Danio rerio: one gene and its partners. The protein of the gene in region 1 purifies or fractionates together with the protein of each later gene. This does not show direct contact. Links are inferred from orthologs where the notes say so. Each region holds a gene or a part of one and is shown on either strand. Other genes may lie near its edges.

The links.
Region 2: the proteins of rpl7l1 (region 1) and pes purify together in Homo sapiens (affinity purification with mass spectrometry; 4 studies listed by BioGRID and IntAct, counting the BioPlex papers as one, with this or other methods). This does not show direct contact. The link is inferred for Danio rerio from reciprocal best matches to the Homo sapiens genes RPL7L1 and PES1.
Region 3: the proteins of rpl7l1 (region 1) and rexo4 purify together in Homo sapiens (affinity purification with mass spectrometry; 3 studies listed by BioGRID and IntAct, with this or other methods). This does not show direct contact. The link is inferred for Danio rerio from reciprocal best matches to the Homo sapiens genes RPL7L1 and REXO4.

Annotation. Positions count from the first base shown.
Region 1 is NC_133195.1:39,945,478-39,949,601, reverse strand, and holds the start of rpl7l1 (60S ribosomal protein L7-like 1), read left to right. Parts: upstream 1-1,320; 5' UTR 1,321-1,350; coding exon 1,351-1,364; intron 1,365-2,880; coding exon 2,881-2,989; intron 2,990-3,063; coding exon 3,064-3,227; intron 3,228-4,109; coding exon 4,110-4,124.
Region 2 is NC_133180.1:13,536,077-13,539,595, forward strand, and holds part of pes (pescadillo), read left to right. Parts: intron 1-532; coding exon 533-678; intron 679-3,362; coding exon 3,363-3,519. UniProt on the Homo sapiens protein: Component of the PeBoW complex, which is required for maturation of 28S and 5.8S ribosomal RNAs and formation of the 60S ribosome.
Region 3 is NC_133196.1:7,189,054-7,192,572, forward strand, and holds part of rexo4 (RNA exonuclease 4), read left to right. Parts: intron 1-2,429; coding exon 2,430-2,582; intron 2,583-2,663; coding exon 2,664-2,857; intron 2,858-3,519.

The DNA of each region.
Region 1 (4,124 bases):
CGACAATGCCATTGAGAATCCTAAAACATGTCAGCAACTTGTTAAAAAATGTTAGCAATGTGCAAGAACACGCTAAAGATTTTAGAAACACTAAACTTGCTAGCAACAAGTTACAGGGTGATTAATATGCCAACTTGCAAAACATGATATTCAATTCATGTTTATTTCTATAGCGCTTTTACAGTGTAGATTATGTCAAAGCAGCTTAACATAGAAGTTCTCGTCAATTGAAACTATGTGAGTCCAGTTTTCAGAGTTGAAGTTCAGTTTAGTTCAGTTCAGTGTCGATTAATTTTCACTGCTGAAAGTCCAAACAATGAAGAGAAAATCTCTTGATGCACAGCTCCACAAGTCCCAAACCAAGCAAGCAAACATATATCAATATCGTAGCACCTTGTTAAAACTGTAAAAACACAGTTTTTGTTAATGACATGATGTAAACATATCATAACATACTTATAAACAGGCTGGCTGGCGGTAATGGTAGTAATATGGTACAACATATTAACATCTATCTCTCCTGCTAATAAAATATAAAACCTTAAAATTTTAAGCTGTAAAACTGCTTGTAAATTCATTCATTCTCTGCTTTGTCCCTTTATTAATCTGGGGTCACCACAGTGGAATGAACCACCAACTTATCCAGCATATGTTTAATGCAGCGGATGCCCTTACAGCTGCAACCCATCACTGGGAAACACCCTCACACTCTCATTCACACACGTACACAATGGTCAATTTAGCCTACCCAATTCACCTATAGCGCATGTCTGATTGTAGAGGAAACCGACACGAACACGGGAAGAACATGCGAACTCCACGCAGACTTGCCAACTGACCCAGCCAAGACTCCAGCAACCATCTTGCTGTCAGGCGATTGTAATACCCACTGTGCCACCGTGAAACCTTTTAAACTTTGAGCTTTAAAATAGCTTCAAACCTATTGGTCAGGCTTTTTCAACACAACGTTTAAGTTTGTCTTGAGGAAATAGTTTTTTTTTGTTTGTTTTTGTTAAGTTATTTAGGAAAATCTGCACTAATAGTGTAGGCTATTAGTTTTCATACATGCTTAATAATGCATATTTAAATTAAGAAATGTAAGAATTGACAGCCTGCAGAAGGGAAAACTTCATTAGTTTGTCACGTAACTTCTTAAAGCTTATGTGTGAAATGTAAAGCAAATTGTCGATGAAGTAGTAATCACATGGTGATGAACGTGAGTTATCTGATATCAGTGGCAGTGAGTGAAATGTAATAGACACTCCGGAGCGAAAGGGGGCAGTATTACACAAAAAAAGGAAAAAACAAAACGTCATCTTTGTGCGACGGGAATTTGTCACAGCAAACGCGATGGCAGAACCAGGGTGCGTATTTTACTTATTTCGAATCTTAATCAATCTGTGATGAAGATCAAAACTATTATCTAGTTTTTTTCGTTTTCAGCGTCTATATAGTGTGTATAGATTGTTGGATACAAAATTTATCCGGATGACACAATGTGATGAGGGTGATTAGTTAAAGTTTGTTTTCACATGGATCGACTCTAGTCTACCTGAACTAACATGAAAGTTGTTTTTACTATTGTTTTTTTTTTGTTGTAATTTTACTTTAGATCTTAAAGACTGTCTGGCTGTTCTGTCATGTGTAGATGTTTACAATGGACGTACTGTCACGGAATTATTTGTAGTTTTGGAGTTCGATGGCAGGGCTCCAGATTAACATTTCAGAGCAGTGGCACCGATGCCACCAACTTAAACATATGGTGACATACGCTAATGATTTTGTGTTTGGACAGTGCTTTAAAAGAAATTAAAAAATAAGTAAACCAACACTAATAATAAATACAGAGATGCCTCAAAGATATGCGAACAGATAATTTAATCTGGGTAAATTTGGTTGTTTTCGCACATTCAGACTTTCTTTTGAATAAATTAACTTGGGAAATTTTTTTTTTTGCAGATTCAAAACAGGGAAATCATATTAGCAGGCAACAACTCTCAAATAGTGCTAATGTTGTTTTGAAGGCATACTTGCATGCGATTTCAGACCGAATATTTTAATAGGTAAACAATGTATCGATAAACATAACGAATTTGTGAATATAAAATCAACTATGTCTCAATAAACTGATTAAAACTACATCAATGATATTTCTTGATAAAATTATCTGTGGTGAGGATACTAGTCGTAGACACAAAAGTTCCTAAAGGCAATACCTAGATTTAATACTTTCCTTGCTGACATTTATTTCAATATTGAATCTCTTAAGCTTATTAATAATAATAATAGAAATAATAAGTTTTTTAAAACTCATGATAATATTTTTTTCTTAATTATTTAGGCTTTGTAAAGTTTTTGTTGTTTTGTGTGTTTTTCTTATTTTTTCTTCTTGTATTTTTTTATTCAATGCAGTGAGTGATGTTATTATTCTTCAATTTAATAAAAAAGGATACTAGTCATATTGAATGTAATGATGCTACCGTTTTATAGTCAGTTATCATGCTTTAGCTTATTTGTCGTAGCATTTGCTAACAGTTGTGAGACTTTTTTTTAATTAAAAGCAACAATAAAAATAATAGCAAAAGCTTTTATGTTCAGTGATGTATATTTTGTTGTGTTTAACAAGTAAAATCAGTAGACAGAGTGTTAATTTACAGATAAGTGTGGTTACATCACTGAGTCAACTTCTTGCTGCCCATTCCTTTAAATTAAAGAGCATTGTCTGTTGATTCTCTTTACAGGTTTTATCTTTATATTTGTCTTTAAATAAAACATTTAACCTCATCATAAACAAAATAATAGTAGATTGAAGCCATGCAGATAATGAATTGTATAAGGTCTTATAAAGTTTGTATTAAAACATTGATATCTTTTGTTCAGAACTGAGAAAGTGATCAAGCTTGTTCCTGAGAATCTTCTCAAGAAACGCAAGGCATACCAGGCTATCAAAGCCAATCAAGCTAAACTTGCTTTACAGCAGAAGAAAAGGGTAAGAATTCTTCTATGTGTTAATAGTCCAATAATTACTTCAAAAACAAACTAATAAACTAAATATTTCACCAGGTCCAAAAAGGAATCCCCTTCAAGTTTAAGCGCTTGGAGGAGTTTTTGCAAAACAGCAGGAGAAAGCATCGAGATGAGACCAGGCTCGCCAGACTCAAAAAGAGACCTCCACCACCCATGCCACCAGCCAAAAACAGCCTGGCATTCGCTGTCCGCATTAGAGAGTAATTTACACTCATGCCTCATTCACGTTGACATTGAAGCTGTTCTATTATGCTGCTACACTTTTAACTTTCTTTGGAGTTTAATATGGCTGTTTGACCATGAGAAAATGTACAAAGCACAAATTATACTACAGGTATGATTTTTCTGGACTCTCTCAAACACCTTGATTCTAGTCCAAAAGGGGAGTAATTTTCACCCTAGGCAAGCCCAGTAAGGTTACACAATCCAACGACACCTTAGACTCAAGTTACATCTTATAAAAAGAGCATAATAGGAGAACTTCAAAGAAACATTTGACCCAAAAATATAATTGCATCATAATTGACTCGCCCTTATGTTATTTCCAACAATGTTCCATGTTATTTTCACGATGCGTCATCAGTTGACCATATTGGAAAGCAAAGCGTAAACAATGCCACTGAATGAAACTTGCATATTTTGCTGATTACTGCTGTTGAAATTAGTTTTTGTCAAGTTTTGGCCTGTACTTAAGCACTGAAGAGTACTAAAGACCGACAAAAGTGAGCAAATTAAACAGAAGAGAGCTGTTTGACTAAATATTACATATTTTCACACTTACCAAGTTTTCTGTATAATCTAGCACCTTAGACTAATTTTTGTCTTAAATGCAGAACAGTATATTCAGTAATTGATTATTGTGCGATCCATGATGTTGTTTACATCTGAGCATCTACGTCATGACTGCACGTATGGGTAACTAATGAAATGATGCAAGATGCATTTTTTGTGACAATCAAAAGTTTTGTTTTAAATAACATAACAGTATGTGATGACTTAAGTTGTTTTTGGATTAACCATCCTTTAAGGTTTATTACCTTTGTTTTTATTAGGGTTTAATTTAGATTTTTCATTTATTGTAGGATCAAAGGTGTGAG
Region 2 (3,519 bases), on another chromosome or scaffold:
GTTTAGTTTTAGTAGCTCAGTAAAAAAACAAAGAAGCAAAAGGTTTTGTTGAATTGGAAATGACGATCACTGTCAAAGGCATTCGCCCCAACCCCTCCCCATCATTCTCCCTCTTTTTTTAGACGGGATGGTGGGCCAAATCGAAGATTACATAGGGCCAACTTTAGCCCGCAGGTCATACTTTGGGCTTCTCTGGTTTAATCTATTCAGTTATGTGCACATTTTTTATTGCACATTTTCAAAATTATGTGCATCTTTGTGTTTCTATTAAGCAATTTTAGGAAATTTTTCAAATAAACAAATTATAGGTGGATGGCAACTACAGAAAAAGTTTGACGGCTCTGTGATGTCACAATCTGCACTGTGGCTAACAACAGATCAGTTGGAATCAGCTTTAAGACCGGCTGGTTACTGGTTTGATCAATCAAGCAAGGAAACTGATTCTAGTCCCTGGCCAGTCGATCGTGCATCTCTACTGTTTTGATTTGTGAGTGTCGAACGATTGTTAAATTTACCATCAATCTCTTAACAGAAGCAGAAGAAGACGAGGAAGAGGAGGGAGAAGAAGAAGAGGATGATGAAGAAGACGAAGAGGACGATGAGCAGAGTGAGGATGAAGAGGAAGCAGAAGAAGAAGCAAATCTAGCTGAAATGGAGGAGAAGAGATCTCAGGGAAAGGTTAGTAGAAACTGTAAAAAAAAATATGGACGTAGTATCGATTACGTCACCCATAGGTTTTGAAGCGCGCAAATGAAGCTATAAGTGGGCATGGCCAACTGGTGCCATGTTTTTTTTTGCATGTCATCGCACTGACCGGGGGTAACCAAAAATGGGCAAAAAGGTGGAGCTACAAATGTGTCTAGACCTTTGCTCAGATAGGGGGTTTTTTGGGAGAAACGCTTAGGACTTTATTACCTGCAATTCGTTTGTGTTCTGACCACGTGCTTGGTTGTATACTATATCAATAAAGTGTTTAGTCTTTTAAAAACACTGTTGTATTACATTGAGCCACTAAGTATTGTTCTTATGATGTTTTTCTACAGGAGGAAAATGTAAATTACTTACAAATACGTCAAATATAGTCTGTGTTAGTAAATGCAAGGCTATATATGAAATCCAGGCAGAACACTGTTTGACAATGTTTCAGATGACTGTTCTACAGCATACAGCTAATCAATCTGTCAGGTTCAAGAGTGCTTTACAATTCTAGAGAAAATTATGAATGATAAATAAATCTTAAATAAAATAAATACATTTATAGATATGAAATACAAGTAAACAATTTCACTAACAAGGGAAATGGAGGCCACTTGAATAGCATTTGACTTTGTAAAGCCACATAAAACAAAACGAGTTCAGCAGCTAATCAGCTGGAATCAGCTGAGGTGAAGTGACTGCGACCAGCGATACCTAGCTGTCACTCAAGTGGCCACACCCGTAATTATGCAGACTTAATATAACGCAAAAGAAAAAAAAATAAAGAAAAAAGGATGAGTTATAAAAAAAATCACCCCCCTTACAGTTGTCATGAACAGTGATATTATTAGCTATATACATCAAAATTGTTTTTTGTACCAGGCTTTAAACTTTTTTTTTTTTTTTTTTTTTTTTTTTTTTTTTTTTTTTTGCTGTAAAGTTGGCCATTCTAACATTGGGCTCAATAGAAATTAGCTCTTTTGGAGCCAGGCCTAGTGAATTTTTGATGAATAGCAGTTTCAGTTACTTGCGTGTTTACTTGAGGAGGGAGAGCGGGAGATTGCCCCTTGGTTTTGGATGCTCTTGATTTTGCACGTAGAATATTTTTGCAGTTCTGCTTGTTGACTTCAGTTTTACAGAAATTGCACACAGTAAAATATTTAAGGCTGTTGCATCACATCTGTTAAAAGTGAATGCTTATTTATTCGCCTTCAGGCCATCCAAGAGGTGACTTATTCTTAAGTAGATCAATTAAAGAAGATTTATATCTCGATGGTCATTTGCAAAATGTAAATTAGCAGTTACCAGCACTTGTATACCTTTACACATAAAGATGGCAGAAACAGCCAAAACAGGGTTTTAACAGTGATGCCACAATAGAACCATATCCAGTTCCTAACAAAACTGTAGTTTGAAAATCAATTACTTAATCTAAAGCCTTTTTGATTGTCCAGTACCTGTTTGTGGAATCAGAAAGTTCCTGGAGATTAAAGGATTAAAGGTTATTTGTGGAACTATCAACGCTAATGGATTATATGCACAGCTAGTGTTTTTCAGCCAATGATAAACTTCTGGTGAAGGCTTAATGTTACTTTTTATTTTATTTCATATGGTTCCTTTTACAGCATGAATGTTGTGATGTGATTACAACACTCTCAGTTAAATAAACTTAAGCATTCATTTAGTTGCTCAAGCAAAAAACAAGATGCAAGACTGTGTAACCGATAGCGCCGTTAGGATCAGCAGGGGAGAGCAGAAACACAGTTGAAAAAACTGGGATAAAATAAATGTTCATATCTTAAAGACATTGCAGGGGGAAATGGAATTTTATACAGTGCTTCTTGTCCGGTCTGAGACCCCCTTTGTATTGTATATCTATCAGGCAGTGAATATCACTGATTTTTGAAGAAAAAGTGACAATTTTATTATGTAAGGACAGTTCACCAGAAGTGCGCTGGCTGGCTGAAATTAAAAGTCTGTGTGTATATACTCCATTAAGAACCTTTAAGTGTGTAGAGTAAAAAATGTCAAAACCCGAATTAATTGCCTTGCCTTTTCTTAAAAATCATTTTGTGAATATTTAGTGTAAAGAAATATTTTAAAAAATCTTCAAAAATATATATTTTGTTATTATACATCACAGTGCTGCTCCAAAATCTTAATTTGTTATTTTAAAACTTTGTACTTTATCACTATCCTTCAAAACACTGATTATATATATATATTGACTTTAACTGCTAAAAGCTACTAGTGAGTAGTTAGTTGAAGTAATTAGCAACTAATAAAGTTGTTGACTAATAACTTTTTCTGATGTGGATTCTGATACAATAATGTGCACCTTTTTTAAAGCTGCTTTTCACAATAATTATTGTGAAAAGCACTATTCAAATGAACTTGATTTATTTAAAACATTAAGTATGAGCACATGTAAAATGAGTACCATTCAGATTAAATATGTATTTTCGTTTTTACATATGTAAGGCTGAATGATGGACTGAACCTTAAATCACCCTTATTTTTTTTTCCACAAAATGTTTAGAATCATTGAAGTAGTCACTTAGTAGTAGTCTTAGTATGCTTTGTATGTATGTAAAATCACTTTTGCTAACTTAATTTAGGAATTTTTTTTTTTTTATCAAATTCAATTTGTTGTGGTTGTCCCTCAGAGCCTCTCAGTAAAGGTGACTCCTGGTAAAGCCAAAGCTGAGAACCGTGCGAGAGCAGCAGAGGAGGAGAAAGCAGAGGAGAAGAGACTGGCCATTATGATGATGAAGAAGAAAGAGAAATACCTCTATGACAAGATCATGTTCGGCAAGAAGAGAA
Region 3 (3,519 bases), on another chromosome or scaffold:
GTGAGGCGGCAGTGCTACCCATTGTGCTGCCCCCTTTTGAGACTATTTCAGTTAATTTTATGCATTTGGCAGCGTCTGATTTTAGAGCAATTTTTAAGTTTCTCTGAGCTTTTTGACACCGCCTTTCCTTTTTTCACGGTCCATCTCTGACAATTAGCTTGTGTTGCACCTAATGTTTGTTTGACATTCTTGCCAGATTTTGATTATGTCATGCGTAACCTCTGATTGGGTGGGCCCATCTCGAAACCAGCTGGCCATTACCGATTGGGCCAATGCTTAACATTTATTATTATTATTACTATTATCATCATCATTATCATCATCTTTATCATAATATTCACCTCTTGCAAGAAACAAAAACTGCCTGTATGTAAAATGAATACTTATTAAAAAAAAATGTAATAAAAAATAGCATACCGGCCCACATTTAAAAAAAAATGGTCCAGCCCTTCTGGCATTTGCCAGAATTGCCAGATGGCCAGTCCGCCCCTGCAGTTTATGATATTACAAGACGGATTACATTCATTTTCTTGTATGATTTATAGACAAATATTTCTTTAATTTAATATTTTTATTAGTTATAATAGTTTTAAGAATAAAAATCATAAATTGTGAGATTTAAACAGCTTTATTATATTAATTGTTATAATTTTTTTATTTATTGTGTTTGGAGAAAACACAGAAGTGAAGTCAGAAATGTGTGTTTGTGTTTGTGTGTGTGTGTGTGTGTGTGTGTGTGTGTGTGTGTGTGTGTGTGTGTGTGTGTATACAGTTGAAGTCAGAATTATTAGCCCCCCTAAATTATTCCCCCACCGTTTATTTTATCCCTAATTTCTGTTTAACGGAGAGAAGATTTTTATCAACACATTTCTAAACATAATAGTTTTAATAACTCATTTCTAATAACTGATTTGTTTTGTCTTTGCCATGATGACAGTAAATAATATTTGACTAGATAAATAATTTTGACCTTAAAATGGTTCATAAAACTTTGAACAACTTTTTTTCTAGTCAAAATAAAGCAAAAAAGACTTTCTACAGAAGAAAAAATATCAGACATACTGTGAAAATTTTCTTGCTCTGTTAAACATCATTTGGGAAATGCTTAAAACAGAAAAAAAGGGGGGTAAACCTTCTATATATGTATAACCTTCTATAAACAACTCCATTCTGTGGCGGAGAAAAAAAAACAGGATTGCAAGATGTTAATTTCGAAAGGCAAGAAAAAAAATATAATGGGAAAAGTTTTTTTTATGTTGCCGGACAGAAGAATTTTCAAGTTGAAGTCAAAATTAGAGATTTAGACTCTCAAAAGTCCAAAATTTTGTGAAAAATCCACATTTTTTTGATTTTTTTTTATCAGTTATGCCAACAAAAAAACTGTATTGGAATAAATGCACTTTTTTAGATAATTAAACAATTTAAAGGAAGAAAATCTAAAATCTGAGAAATATAGCTGCATTTCTAAGAAATTATAAAGGTGAGGGAAAAAGAAGAAAAGAACGAAAAAAAAGTTTGAGCTAAAGTCAAAATTATATATATAATGTAAACTCATTTCTGTAAAAAGTCACAATATACTATCAAAAATCCAAAATTTCCAGTAGATTGGAAGTGTAATATATAAAATAACTAAAAGAAGAAAAAAAATCTGAGTTGTGTGAAATAAACTTGCAATTCTAATATAAATGTCAGAATTGTGAAGCAAAGTGTTGCATTTGTTTATTTATTTTGTTTACACTTTGTTCCATGGCAAAAATAAAAACACTAAAGCTAAAGTCAAAATTAGAGATATGAACTCTAGAGAAGATATGATTAGAGGTATGAATTATGAGATCAGATAGAAAATATGTGGAGCAAGCTAAAAAGCTATTGCAAAAAATAAACAAAATAACTAGAAAAATCTACATTAATAAATTAAATATCTAATGTTTAATCTAAATAAATACACTGAAAAAAGCTGAATGACCTATAGCTGGGGTCACCAATCTTGGTCCTAGAGGGCCAGTGTCCCTGCTGGCTTTAGCTCTAACTTGCCTCATCACACCTGCCTGGGTGTTTCAAGTTTACCTAGTATGAGCTTGATTAGCGTGTTCAGGTGTATTTGATTAGGGTTGGAGCTAAAATCTGCCGGACACTGGACCTCCAGGAACAAGTTTAATGACCCCTGGTCTAAAGTCAAGAAGTGAGAGATAAACTCAACTTATATTTATAAAATATTGTCAAATTGATCTGGTTTTGCCATAAAATAGCCAGAGATGCTGACATGGCAATAAATTCTAAACTCTCAACTCTCTCTCCATATAAACACAGAGTTCAAGGGGAAAAATCGGAAAATAGCCAATGCATTTGCAAGAAAAAAAAGCTTCGTTGTTGATAACCAACTTCCATCCTACATCTTTTTTTATATGTAACCCCCTGTTTTCCCTCAGGCCGGACCTCTGGTTTGACGACGTGGACCCCGATGACATCGAGTCCGCTTTAGGGACAGAAGCTGCGGACATCATGCGGAAACGCTGCGGATTAGCGAAGTGCGATCCAAAAAACACAGAGAAGATGCTGGTGAAAGAGCATGCGTTTGAGGGGTATGTGAACATGACCACACTTGCTCCTGTCATTGCTAACAGGAAGTGATGTCACTCAATGATTTATTTTGTGGTTTTTAGAGTGACTCGTGCGGTTGCGATGGACTGCGAGATGGTGGGTGTTGGATATAAGGGAGAGGACAGTATTTTAGCCCGAGTCTCCCTCGTCAACCACTTCGGGAAATGTATCTATGACAAATACGTCAAACCCACAGAGAAGGTTACGGACTACCGAACGGCGGTTAGCGGCATCAGACCGGACGACATCAAGAATGGTCAGAACTTTAATAATAGACATTGTTATAGTTATATACTGAAGTAAGAATGATTAACCCTTCTGAAATATTAGCCCTCCTGTAAATTTATTCTAATGGAGCTAAGTTAAATAGTTTAATAACTTATTTCTAGTAACGGATTTCTTTAATCTGCCATGATGACAGTGAATAATATTTATTTTGAATAATAGGCTTAACTAGGTTGGTTAGGTTAACTAGGCAGGTTAGGGTAATTAGGCAAGTTATTGTATAATATTGGTTTGTTCTGTAGACTATCAAAAATAAATATAGCTTAAAGGGGCTAATAATTTTGACCTTAAAATGGTTTAAAAAATTTAAAGCTGCTTTTATTTTAGCCGAAATAAAACAAATAAGACTTTCTCCAGAAGAAAAAATATTATAGGAAATACTGTGAAAATTTCCTTGCTCTGTTAATCATCATTTGGGAAATATTTTTTAACAAATTCACAGGAGGGCAAATCAGTTTGACCCCAACTGTATATATGTGCAATATCACACTCATAGCAGTGTGATATGGATGTATATCGGCAGTGGTGGGAGGGGTGTGTTGGCATGAGGCCATAGGCAGAATGCCTTAGCGTCCCACCAGTGACGATATACAGCCATATCACACTGCTATGAGTGTGATATTGCATTTATAC